2 linked regions of the Chlamydomonas reinhardtii genome follow. Each later gene encodes a partner of the first gene's protein in a complex. Links are inferred from orthologs where the notes say so. Each region holds a gene or a part of one and is shown in the gene's direction. Other genes may lie near its edges.

Evidence for each region.
Region 2: the proteins of CHLRE_01g015000v5 (region 1) and CHLRE_07g357350v5 are in contact, whole or in part, in a crystal structure (PDB 2RD5), measured with the Arabidopsis thaliana proteins. The link is inferred for Chlamydomonas reinhardtii from reciprocal best matches to the Arabidopsis thaliana genes NAGK and GLB1. Residues at the interface, in NP_191315.1 of Arabidopsis thaliana: Arg195, Glu208, Val209, Ala210, Arg211, Val212, Glu251, Ala254, Ala255, Ile286, Lys287, Lys290, Ile310, Arg311, Ala314, Gln315, Gly316, Gly347; in NP_192099.1 of Arabidopsis thaliana: Arg82, Trp84, Arg85, Gln88, Arg118, His119, Gly120, Gly121, Ser122, Glu123, Glu153, Thr157, Glu159.

What each region holds. Positions count from the first base shown.
Region 1 is NC_057004.1:2,573,797-2,579,786, forward strand, and holds the start of CHLRE_01g015000v5 (uncharacterized protein), read left to right. Parts: upstream 1-1,976; 5' UTR 1,977-2,118; coding exon 2,119-2,277; intron 2,278-2,481; coding exon 2,482-2,613; intron 2,614-3,016; coding exon 3,017-3,161; intron 3,162-3,556; coding exon 3,557-3,690; intron 3,691-4,088; coding exon 4,089-4,250; intron 4,251-4,524; coding exon 4,525-4,686; intron 4,687-5,220; coding exon 5,221-5,349; 3' UTR 5,350-5,990. UniProt on the Arabidopsis thaliana protein: Involved in the arginine biosynthetic pathway via the intermediate compound ornithine.
Region 2 is NC_057010.1:6,337,507-6,343,496, forward strand, and holds the start of CHLRE_07g357350v5 (uncharacterized protein), read left to right. Parts: upstream 1-2,916; 5' UTR 2,917-3,115; coding exon 3,116-3,159; intron 3,160-3,297; coding exon 3,298-3,395; intron 3,396-3,741; coding exon 3,742-3,848; intron 3,849-4,292; coding exon 4,293-4,394; intron 4,395-4,621; coding exon 4,622-4,707; intron 4,708-5,059; coding exon 5,060-5,164; intron 5,165-5,764; coding exon 5,765-5,840; 3' UTR 5,841-5,990. Other genes in the region: CHLRE_07g357250v5 (uncharacterized protein), read left to right, coding at 1-368; CHLRE_07g357300v5 (uncharacterized protein), read right to left, coding at 1,079-1,156, 1,436-1,474, 1,752-1,799, 2,174-2,242, 2,511-2,705. UniProt on the Arabidopsis thaliana protein: Participates in sensing carbon and organic nitrogen status and regulates some steps of primary carbon and nitrogen metabolism.

The sequences.
Region 1 (5,990 bases):
GTCCCTGAGAACTCGCGCTATAGTTCCCCAAAATGCTTGCCGCCGACATAGTTTGCCTCAAAGATCCGCTAAAAGCGCGCGCGGGCGCCTTTCTATGCGAGGTCGCGGAAGTCAACTGTTGATGCTTGTGCGAAGGCACTTCTCGCTCCGCCGGAACTTTCCCTGTCGCCTATTTACATGCAATAGGCAATAGCGAACACTAATCCTTAGCAGTCGCTGTTTGTGCCAGTATGATACTTTTTGCCGTTAACGCAGCCAACACGCACGCAGCGGGCGCCACGGACAGGGGCGGTCCGGCCCCTGTGTTCTCGCTTCGCTCCGCGGGCTCAGCCCCACAACTGAAAGTACCAGCGTTATTTTCAGGCATGGGCTTCTGTTATTCTTACCCCCCCTGGCTCTTCGCGCATGTCAAGTCAATATAATGCGCGTCCCTGCCGCTGCTTTCTCACCGCCGCGCGGGTGCGGGCTGCTTGACCAGGGGGGGGGTAGGAAACAAAGTGCCAGACCCCATGCCCCGAAATCCCCCGGGACCCCCCTTGAGGGGACGACCGACCCCCCGACGGACAAAACCTTGTTGTTCAGGGGTTAAAACCCCTCCATTTTATACCAAAGTGGTGTCAATCGACTCCTCTTGACGAGCACTATCACTCCGTGCCATCAGCGGTCCTGTTCTGAGGCTTCGGTCACACGCAGGATCCTATCCATGGAATCCCCTCGACCCAGACCACCCCGCGCTCAACTCTCTGCCGCGTGACGAATGGACAATGTGCATCGGCAGCCTTGTTAGACGTGAACTCATGCGCACCAGCGCTTCAGAGCCCAGCTGTGTCAGTGCGCATGTGTTGAATGTGGAGACTTGTCCCGACAATCACAAGGCTCGCGGCTCATAAGGCATCGCTAGTCCGTGACATCCAACGCAAAGCTAGTCTGTGCGCAAAAGCGCAGTCGAAGGCACCACACGTCCACCCACAACAAGCCACACCAAGCGCGAGCCTAGCAGGCCGACGCAGCTGACGACAGCACCAAAGCGGGTCCCAAACGGCGCGCGCACGACTTTTCACTCCCAACCGCCAGTCTCAGCCGTGCTCCACCGTACCATGCTCCGCCGCACCTTCTCACACGCGTGCGCGCTCAACTACCACCTCCCACTCGCGCCGCGCGCCAACTACCACGCCACGCGCCGCCGCCCCTGTTCGTTAACAGTTGCGCGGAAGCCCGTTTGTGATCCCCGTGTGTCAGTTAAAGTGTTGGTAGTTGCAAGGATTGCCGCGCCGCACGCCGCACGTGCAAAGTACACGCATCCAGAACGGCTGGACGTGTGTGTGTGTGTGTGTGTGTGTGTGTGTGTGTGTGTGTGTGTGTGTGTGTGTTGAAAAGAAAACAACAAAACGAAGCCCGCCCGTGTGTGTGTGTGTGTGTGTGTGTGTGTGTGTGTGTGTGTGTGTGTGTGTATGTGTGTGCGTGTGTGTGCGTGCTCATATGGGTGCGATGGGACAGTGTTAAGGCAGGTTGGTGAAGTCCCGCCTGTAGGGTGCAGCTGATGCCCAGACCCCAGCAGATGGCAAACAGTTTGCTACGGTAGTGCATGAGCGCGCGGCTGGTCGAACGCCGGAGTTACTGTACCGACAAGTTGCTGGCTGGCGGGAAGTTTGCTGACGCGCATTCCTCACGCTCGGGCGCCCGGCCAGGCGATACCACCAAACAGACACGTGTGTGCTCCTAGGGGAAGGGCTGTTGGTTCCTCCACTCACCAGTCTCGTGAGAACTAAGACGCAAAGCCAGGGTGGGGCCCAGGCGCGACCAGGGGGACGCCCCGGTGAGGCAAGGGCTGGCAGCAGGAAGCAGGAATGACGAGAGGGCTGATGGAAGAGCGCGGGGGCGAGAACGTGACGACTGTGCATGGGCACTTTGCTTGCATGCACTTTCCCCGGACAAAATGTATCGACCGGTTGCTGCGGCCCTATGTATGCATTGTACGATTGACAAGACCGTGTAGTATTGGATAGTGTAGCCTCGTTCCTACAAAGGATCATTCCACAGGGCTTGAGCCAGGGCCAGGCTTTTACGCAACAAGTCTCAGCTTAGGCTACTTCTTGTGTCCTACTGTTTGCTGGCACCATGGCGCTGCTCGCGGCCAAGACGACGAGCCCTAGCGTGACGACTCGCCGCAGCGTCACCGGGCTGCCTTCTGTGTCGGGTTTCCGCGCGTCTCGGCCCACTCGCAAGCATGGCATTTACGTTCGCGCTATGGCAGCTGCAACCGCTGAGGAGGCCGAGGTGCGCAAGCTTGCGATTGCCGCGGAGCCTAGCACGTGCACTCGCCTTTGAGCGCTTCTGGCGGCCCTCGCATACTAGTTGGTACTTATCCGCACTCACTCGTGCGCATGATCTTCTGTGGACGGCCACTGAACACGAGGTTCTCCACACGCGACCCAACCCTAGTTTCAAGCGGGGCCCCTCGTCTTGTGCCGACACCCGCAGCTGAGGAAGCAGCTGACGAATCTGGACCGCGTGACCATTCTGTCGGAGGCGCTGCCCTACCTCCAAAAGTTCCGCGGCAAGACCGTCGTGGTCAAGTATGGCGGAGCGGCGATGAAGGACCCCACGCTCAAGGTGGGAGGCTGCGTATGCGTGTGGCGCTGCGCTAGAGGGAGTGGTCAAGCGGATGGGCCCATGCGTGTTGCCGGTTCTTAAAGCACCGTGCGCATGGAGAATGGTTCATGCAGAGGGAGCATGCAGTGCTACACTGACCATGTACAGTTGCAGCAGCAATGATTGCCCGTACTCGTCGAGTACTCGTCGAAGCGGGTGGCAGGCACCCAAGGAAAGCGCGACCTGCCCTGCCTTGCCCATGCGCCCCGTTTCAACCGTCCGGCCGCGTCGAGCGCCCTACCTGCACCCCACACGACACTGCGCACGACACAGTTCCTGGCCTGCTCTTACATAATATGCATGCGCTAATGTTTTGTGTTGTTTGTGTTGGTGCTATGCTGCCATCCGCTGCTCGTAACCTCAGGCGGGCGTGATTAGCGACCTGGTGCTGCTGTCGTGCGTGGGTATACGGTGCGTGCTGGTGCACGGCGGCGGCCCTGAAATCAACTCTTGGCTGGCCAAGGTCGGCATCGAGGCAGTGTTCAAGAACGGCCTGCGTGTTACCGATGGTGGGTGCGCCACACCGCAACGAGGGGCCACGGGGCTAGTAGCGCAGCTGCTGGAAAGGGCGGCATAATGTGGATGGAGATTCCTTTCGGTTCAACTTCAGGGCCTATATTTGTGTTTTGCGCTGGGTTAGCGGATGCATGGTGTGCCAGCGGCGTTACGGCTGCCGCGATGCAGTTACGCCTGGTTGGGGCAGGGCACTGGCGGGCTTCGTGTAGGGCGACTCAAGGCGGTGCGCAGCCTGCCTCGTTCGTTGGCTGCGAAGGGCAGGACAATGACGGAGAAATCCTAGTCGGCGGCCGCCGGATGACGTAACGAGACTGAAGAGCAAGACTCGAAACCGGGGATATGCGTCCGCGTGGCGTTACTTATCCCTTCCCCGCGCCCGACCCCGCAGCCGCGACCATGGAGATCGTGGAGATGGTGCTGGGCGGCCGCGTGAACAAGTCGCTGGTGTCGCTCATCCAACAGGCGGGCGGCAAGGCAGTGGGCCTCACCGGCAAGGACGGCCAGCTGCTGCGGGCGCGTCAGGTGCGGCGCGGAAATGTGTGGGCTGCGCAGCGGTATGGACCATGGAGTAGGTTGCGGCTGACGGGAATTTGTGACAGATGGATTTGAGGCCGCTTCGGCCGAACAGGCTCTGTTGGTGCCCAGTTCGCGCTCGTGCGGGCGCTAAGTGTCCACCAACATGCGGGATACTGAAAGGAATAGCGGATGGGAGAAATATGCAGGCTAGGCCGATTGCCTAGGCGATACACCTACTTCTGCTAAGGCCATGGCAAATGGTACGTCGGCCGCGTTCACCCAAGCGCTGGCAGCAGCACGCGGCCGGCCGCACGCAGCCGCCAAGCCGGCTGAGAGTGGATGGCGTCTCTCCGATACTTGGGCCGACGCCTTGGGCTGACCGGCTGTGCCTCACCCCCTGCCAGATGGTGGAGCTGGACATTGGGTACGTGGGCGAGGTGACCAAGGTGGACCCCACCATCCTCAACGTGCTGGTGGAGGACGAGTACATCCCCGTGGTTGCCACCATCGCCACCGACTACTCGGGGCAGGCGCTCAACATCAACGCCGACACCGCCGCCGGCGAGGTGGGTATGCGGCAGCAGCGCCGAGGCGCGCCGGGGCGAGGTGGGCGGAGCTTAAAAGGGTTCAGTTGCTGAGTTGTAAGCAATTGCGCTGGCGGGTGGGCCTGTTGACACGCCTGGGCCCCAGCTACGATACTAAGAAAGGGTTTGCTGGGCAACTGGTCTTTGCATATGGGCACGCCGGTGCATGTCTCATGCTTGTCGCCTGGGTGGCTGATGCTGCTATTTACGCTTGCGGACGCTTCTGGGCTGGCGCACACGCCATGTGGCCTCGCAGATTGCGGCGGCGCTGAAGGCTGAGAAGCTGGTGCTGATGACGGACGTGCCGGGCGTGCTGCGTGACAAGAACGACATCGGCACTAAGATCCAGGCGCTGGACATCCGCTCCTGCCGCGAGCTGATTCAGGACGGCGTCATTGCTGGTGGCATGATTCCCAAGGTGCGTATGCGTAGATGCGAGGACAGATGCAACTGCATGGTGCGGGACAGAGGGTCGCCAGTGGCATGGATTGCAAACGGACCAGTGGGCGGCCGCAGGGTGGCCGCAGGGCGTCGCGGCCTGCATACCATGGCCGGGGGGTTGCTTGGTCAGGCAGGTACACCCGAACTGCGGATGTTTACACCCAGAAGCAGTTACACAGACAGCAGCGCTTGTGAATGCCAGTCAACAAAGAAGGCTGCACAACGGGCCTTTCGTTGCACGACGTGTTGCAGAGGCTGGCACCCATGGTCGGGCCGGCCATGATACATCAGCACCTACAGCGCAACAAGCAACTTTGCCTTTTAAGAACCATACACTGTCTCGTCAGGGCAGTAACCAGCAGCTTGCGTGCCACGTCTGCAAGTGTGTGTGCACCACGAGCGACTGCCCCACAAGCGCAGTCTCTCATGCCGCACCACTAGGCTCACTGCCCCCCTAACGAAATGTTTTGTCAGTTCTGAATTGTCTTGCATTTGCCCTGTGTGTGCGCAGATTGAGTGCTGCATCCGCTGCCTGTCGCAAGGTGTCAAGGCCGCGCACATCATTGACGGCCGCGCCAGCCACTCCATTCTCATGGAGCTGCTGACGGACGAGGGCGTGGGCACCATGATCACCGGCTAGATTAGACATGTGCTAATTTGGTTGTGGGCGGCTTGGCACACCGAGACAATGGGAGGGTTGTCGGGGATCGGTGGTGGTGACACGTGAGCATGGGATTGCCGTGAAGCCTGGGCCCAGCACCCCTGGGGCAGAGCCTGCCGCGCGCCTGGAAGGGTCCAGCAAGGGCTGCCCTTTATGGCTCGTCTGTGCGGAGGACCAGGAGGCTAGGATGCCTTCAGTCGCATCGCTTGGGAGCGCCAGCCACGCGACGTCAGGCTTGGTCAGGCGGTGGGCCCTCGTCAGGGGCACCCCTGGCCCTCGTGAACAGGGATGCCCCTGTTCGCGAAAGCGAAACGGCGCAGCGGAAGAAGCATTTGCAGCTTGCAGGTGCGGTGGCATAGTTGTCCGTGGTGATCGCGACACTGGAACATGGTGTTGTTGTGATGCTAAGGTGCGAAGCGCGGGGGTTACGGCGGGTCACGGACGTGCGCCAGCCCGCATCATTGCACCCGGGAAGCCTACGTTTCCGGATAACTTATTGTGATGGTTGGTTTTTAACGTTTCATTTGTTCCAATAGTATATCACGAGCAAGCACGCAAGACTGCCGAGATGTCTGAAACTAGCACTCAGCCGGTTTGTTGCCTTCATGGCCATTTACAAA
Region 2 (5,990 bases), on another chromosome or scaffold:
ATGACGCGGTGGTGGCGCTGCTGCTGGGCGCGGGGGCGGACCCCATGGCGGAGCACGGACAGGTGTTTCTGGCGGCGGTGAGGGCTGGGCGCTGGCGCATGGTGGGGGCCATGTGCGCCGTGCCGGCCAGGAGGCAGCAGCAGCAGCAGCAGCAGGGCGCCGGGCCGCGGCGGCTGCAGGTGATGGTGGGCATGTGCAACGAGCTGCCGCTCAAGGACGCGGCGCGGCTGGGCTGGCGGCGGGTGGTGGCGCTGTTGCTGGCGGCGGGGGCCGGGGCCGAGGCGGGGGTGAGGCAGTGCGCGGCGGCGGAGGCGGGCGGGTATGGGCACGGCCGTGTGCAGCAGCTGCTGCTGAGCTGGCAGCCGTGAGGCGTGGGCGGAGGCGGGGAGGCGGGGAGGCGTGGGTGCAGTGCTGGGGACCGGAGGACTTGGGAAACACGCGCACACACACACATGAGCGTCCAGGGCCGTGCAGTTTCACGGACTCAGAGGGATGTAGAGATCTGGGCGCTGTGTGTCCTTACAACCGATTGCTTGTAACCCTCATGCGCCCACCATACCATACATATATATGCGCGAACAAAGCCGCTAGCCGTTGTTCCGGTCATGCACATACGCCATTGCAGACACCATCACACGTGATTTCTTCCTTGTGCTGCAGCAAACGCGCCAGAAAGGCGAGGGTGTTTTCCCATGCACACTTCACCCCTGTTACTCAGCAAGCAGTACCTGTACGCATTACCTGCTCAGCACAACACTCCAATGAATGCGCCAGTACAAGAAGGGGCAGTCCGAGTCCCATGCGTCTCCTTTCTGCAGGGATAGTCCGAATCCTATCGTATGCGCCTACTGGTACACGTCAACATAAAGCGACATACACTATCACACGCCCCTCCAGGTTTCATCCTGCATATACTGCTGGCGGCGTGACATGCTCCACCCCACGCGACCACGTGGTAGCCTGCTGCACGTGTCCGACTGCCCCCCCCCTCCCGTGATCATCGCCCCGTCACCCGTGTCAGCCAGCCCCCTGCCGCCACCACACACGCACTGCTGCTTCTGCTTCTGCTGCCCTGCTGCTACTGCGGCAGCGACGCCTCGATGTGCTGCCGCAGCTTGTCGGTTGTCATGCGCGGCGGCCAGCGGGGCAGCCGGACCTGAGGCAGGTGGGCGGGGCGGGTGGGTGCGGGATGGGGTGGAGAGGGTTGAAGGGGGCAGCGTTTGCGTGCGCGTGCCCATGCAACCATCACGCAGCAGACAGGTCAGGTGCAAGAGCTACATTCACTCACGCACGTACCATCAACATCATGATACACGCTGCATGCCAGCGACAAGCCTAGAGTCATTTGGGGAGTCCATCCCCGCGTTCCGGACCGCCCTCTCCCCTAGGCATACCGCCAACCCCCATTCCTGCTCGTGTACCCAATCTGACCCACCTCTCTCCCGTCTGAGCCCGACGCCACCAACACCGGCACCTGCAGCGGCAAACACACACATGCACACGCGCATATGCATATATTCGAGCCCGGTTACAAGCGCAGTAGCGGCGCCTGTCGCAGCAGCGTCAGAGGCTGGGGCCATTACGGTACTCAGCTCCGGTGGCCACTGCGCTGACAAGCTCCTCAGGCAGGGAGCGGCGGCTGCACGCACACACCGGGTAAGGTGAACACGGGGCCGCACACACACACACACACACACACACACACACACATACACACACACACACACACACACACACACACACACACACACCTCCATCTCGTACACGGCCCAGGCGGGGTTGGTGGTGATGTCCCGTTCCTGAGGAGGAGGGGGGTAGGGGCGGACGGACGGGCGGAGGGGGTGGGGGCGAGGGCAGATGGGCAGGTGGGTGCCGGGATAACGCCACGTGCAACTGATCTGCAGCTGGTGCACAGGGCTGGGCGTCATCCCATGCCCTCGCGCTGGGTTAGTCAGCAGGACTGGTTGCGCAGCGCCACACCACGTGCCTCTGGCCCCACTGCCCCCCTGGCCTACAACTCGCTGTCGCCCCTCCCCCGCGCACATACTCGCCTAAACACACATGTTCACAATTACACACACACACACACACACACACACACACACACACACACACACACACACACACACACACACACACACACACACACACACACACACACACACACACACACCTCCAGGCGCCACTCGGCGATTGCGCTGGGCATGAATTGCGCGCGGTCGATAATGCCTTGCACCCGGTCCTGTGGGGGTGGCAGGTGGACGGCACTAGGCGCACGTGAGGAGGGAGGAAACACAGGGCAGGCTGGGTACTTTTGTACATGGGCGTGTGCCCGGAATTGGGTCTGGCCATGGGAGTTGCTTACGGAAAAGATAGGGGGCGCCAGGTGGCTTGTGGGGGCAGGGCACGCGTAGCGCTCACGATTGGGCCGCGAGCCACTGTTCCAGTGTGGGTGTTGGCCCCCGGAACCCCTACACGCGGCAGTACCAGCACGCAAAGCCGCTGCTCACCCTCGTCCCCTCGCAAAGTTCGCATCCTGGTTTCGTGTACATGGCGATGACCTTGCCGCCGCTCGCCGCAGCTTCGGCCACGACGCACGCGGTGAGCTGTCGGCGGCGAGCTGGCATGCTCAGACCCGGCAGGGCATGCGTCCGATTGTAGACGCATGCATTCCTGCTACTGGTGCATTGTCGAGACGCAAGCATAATAAGAGAGTTTTCCACGGAGACGGACCCGAGTTTGGTGCAAGCAAAGTCTGCGAGTAGTTCAGCGACCGACTATGGAATGATGTAGTGGAAGTTTGGTATCATTATAAGTGTATTTGTCGATCCAATTGGGGAATGGCGACACCACCCGAGTCGGCAAACAAGGGTTCTAGCATCACGTTTTCTCATTTACAGCAGGCAGAGCCACTCCCGTTTACACATAGTCACTGTTACTCACCAGTGTGTTTGTTGCATTTACAAAGTGCGCGAGCCCTCTGGCAAGCGAGCACGCCGCTGTGCGCAGACTGCACACTCGCGACGCTTTGACAGCAGCTGACTGTCCAGTGTCTAGATTAGTGTCATCTATTTGAGCTCATATATTACCGCGTTAATCGGACGAGCGACTGAACATGGCCCTTGCTTCGCGGACTTCCTCCGCTGCCGTCGTCGGCCGGTACGCCGCAGCCCCAACTGACTCTTAGACTCACATGCGGACCCCGAGCTGTTGTAAATGGGCTCGCGCACAAACGTGCCGCGGTGCACGATCACCAACGTGACGCCGAGTTTGGTGACGCTGCTGTGGCAATTGTAGGTCGACGCGGAGTGCAGCTGTTGTGCCTGTTCGGTCCATTGCTTCTCGCTGCCAAGCGGCGCGCCCGGCGCGGCGGGCGTCCGTCGCTGTCCGGGCTAGTAAGTGGGGTGGGTGGGCGGGGGCAACGTGCCGGGGGTTAGCGGAGATGCGGCGAACGGCCGCACTCTTACACGCTCAGCCAACACAGTCGGAGGGCCGATACTCTACACAAGAGGGGTAGCTGGCTACACCTGTCAGTGTAATGCTGCGAGGTCCATGCATGCTTCCGGACAAGCCAGCCAGCAACACACAGCTGCAGCGGATACCGTGTGCGGCACTTCCCGCCAAGGCACCACAGCCACGCATGCCCTTCATATCCCTCTCTTACTCATACACACTACTACATACAAGCTCCACACACGTACCCACCAACCATCACCCCCGCCCCTGCACCCCCCCTCCCAGGCGACGAGAACGGCTCGGTGTCGGTGCGGCGCGCCACGTACGCGGAGCTGGAGTCCATCCAGTGCGACCTCAGCGCCTTCCCCGGCGTCAAGTTCTTCCGCATCGAGGTGGGGGGAGGGGGGCGACTGTGTGTGTGTGTGTGTGTGTGTGTGTGTGTGTGTGTGTGTGTGTGTGTGTGTGTGTGTATTTGAAGGGGGCATGTGGGCTGTGCTGCTGCCGCTGGCTGGGTGCACTGACAGGGGGGGGGGGGGCAGGGCCAGCAGTGCCTCTGGAGGGCCAGCAGGGGGTTTGGCCTGCTGCTGATGCGGCGCAACCACCCAGCCAGCCACCCCAGCCCGGTGCCTCACACATGGCTGTTGGGGTGGTGCCTCCGCACAAGCCATATACCAGCTGTGTGGGCAGCTGTATAGGCAGCTGTGGGCAGCTGGCGGCACCTGCCGCGGCTGGCCCTCGCCACGGCATGCGGGGCTGTAGGCTCGGGCTATGGGGCATGGCTGAACCCCCCCCTCCCCCAACCGCCCCACCGCCCCACTGTCCCGCTGCCTGCTCAGGCCATCTTCCGGCCGTGGCGCCTGCCGTTCGTGATCGACACCCTGTCCAAGTACGGCATCCGCGGCCTCACCAACACGCCCGTCAAGGGCGTGGGCGTGCAGGTGGGGGACTGCCAGAGCTGAGCGGGGGGCTGCTGGGATGAGGGGAGCGGGCTGCGGGTCTCCGCAGTGGCAGGTGGCAGCGACACACTTGGGGCAATAGGGCAGTGGGGCAGTGGGGCTGGCCAAACCGCCTCCGTGTTTGCAGCGGTGCTGCTGCTCTTCCCTTCCGCCCCGGGTGTGTCGCCCGCTCACACACTAGCTCGCTCACTCTGTACCTTCCCCCTCAGGGCGGCTCCCGCGAGCGCTACGCGGGCACTGAGTTCGGTCCCTCCAACCTGGTGGACAAGGAGAAGCTGGACATCGTGGTCAGCAGGTGGGGGGCCGGCAGCAGGGGGGGAGGGAGGGGGCGGGGGGGCCTACGTATGATGAGAGCAGCAAGAGGAGGCAGCAAGCCCGGGAGGGGGGCTGGATGCAGGGGCGCATGCGGAGGCTGCTGCGCGGAGGCTGCTGCGCGCTGCCCGCCTCAACTGAAGGGGATGTCGTGAAGGCTGTGCAGCGGCCGCCGCAGCCCCTGCCCGTACCGGTACCACACCCCGCGCCCCAACACACAGCCCAACACGCCCTCACCTCCACATCCTTTCACACGCCCCATCTCCCGCCAAACACACACGCACGCGCACACACACGCACGCACACACGCACTGGTCTCCCCCCCCCCCGCACAGGGCCCAGGTGGACGCGGTGGTGCGGCTGGTGGCGGCCAGCGCCTACACGGGCGAGATCGGCGACGGCAAGATCTTCGTGCACCCCGTGGCGGAGGTGGTGCGCATGTGAGTGGCGGGGGCCGGGGGAGGGAGAGGAAGACAGGTACAGGGCGGGGATGGGGCAGGGGGCGGGCGGGGGCGGGCGGGGGCGGGCGGGGATGAGAGGCCAGAGCGGGGTGGTGACGCCCATGTCCTAGGCAAGCTGGCGCACCGAGGGGAGGGCTGGAGACGGGAATGCTGGCAGGCCCAAGCGGCCTGGTACCCAAGTACCCACCTTATTGGTGTGGGCGGAGCGAGGGCAGGAACAGGGACGGAGTGGGGGCGGGGCCAGGGTGGGCGAGTGCAGGTGTCGCGGTCAGGTGGGTGGTGGGGTGGGTGGTGGGGTGGGTGTGCACCAGGCGCTGTGAGAGCTGTGGCGGGGCCTGCAGTGCGGTCGGGGGGAGAGGAGCGGGGTGCGGGGCGGGACAGGGCCAAGGCACCCGCTGCCATCTGGCCACACACGCCGTCACCGGGCCAGACCCCGCGTCCTCGTCCCCTGCTCGACCCGCCACCCCCTTGCCTTCGCTTGTCCATTTCGCTGACTGCCGACACCCGCCACACCCGCCCTCCTCTCTGGTTGCTAATCCCTCGTTTCTGGCCCCCCTCTGTGTCTCCCCCTCGCCACAGCCGCACTGCCGAGACTGGGCTGGAAGCTGAGAAGATGGAGGGCGGCATGGAGGACATGATGAAGAAGAAGAAGTAGAGCGGGTGGAGGAGCTGCAGGCGGAGGCGGGGGGGGAGCTTGAGGGCGGGAGCAGTGGTGGAGGAGGAGTCCGGCTTGAGCTAGAGGTGGACTGGGGGACTGGGGGGCTGGGGGACTGGAGTGGGAGGCGCGTGCAGCATACTGCACGTG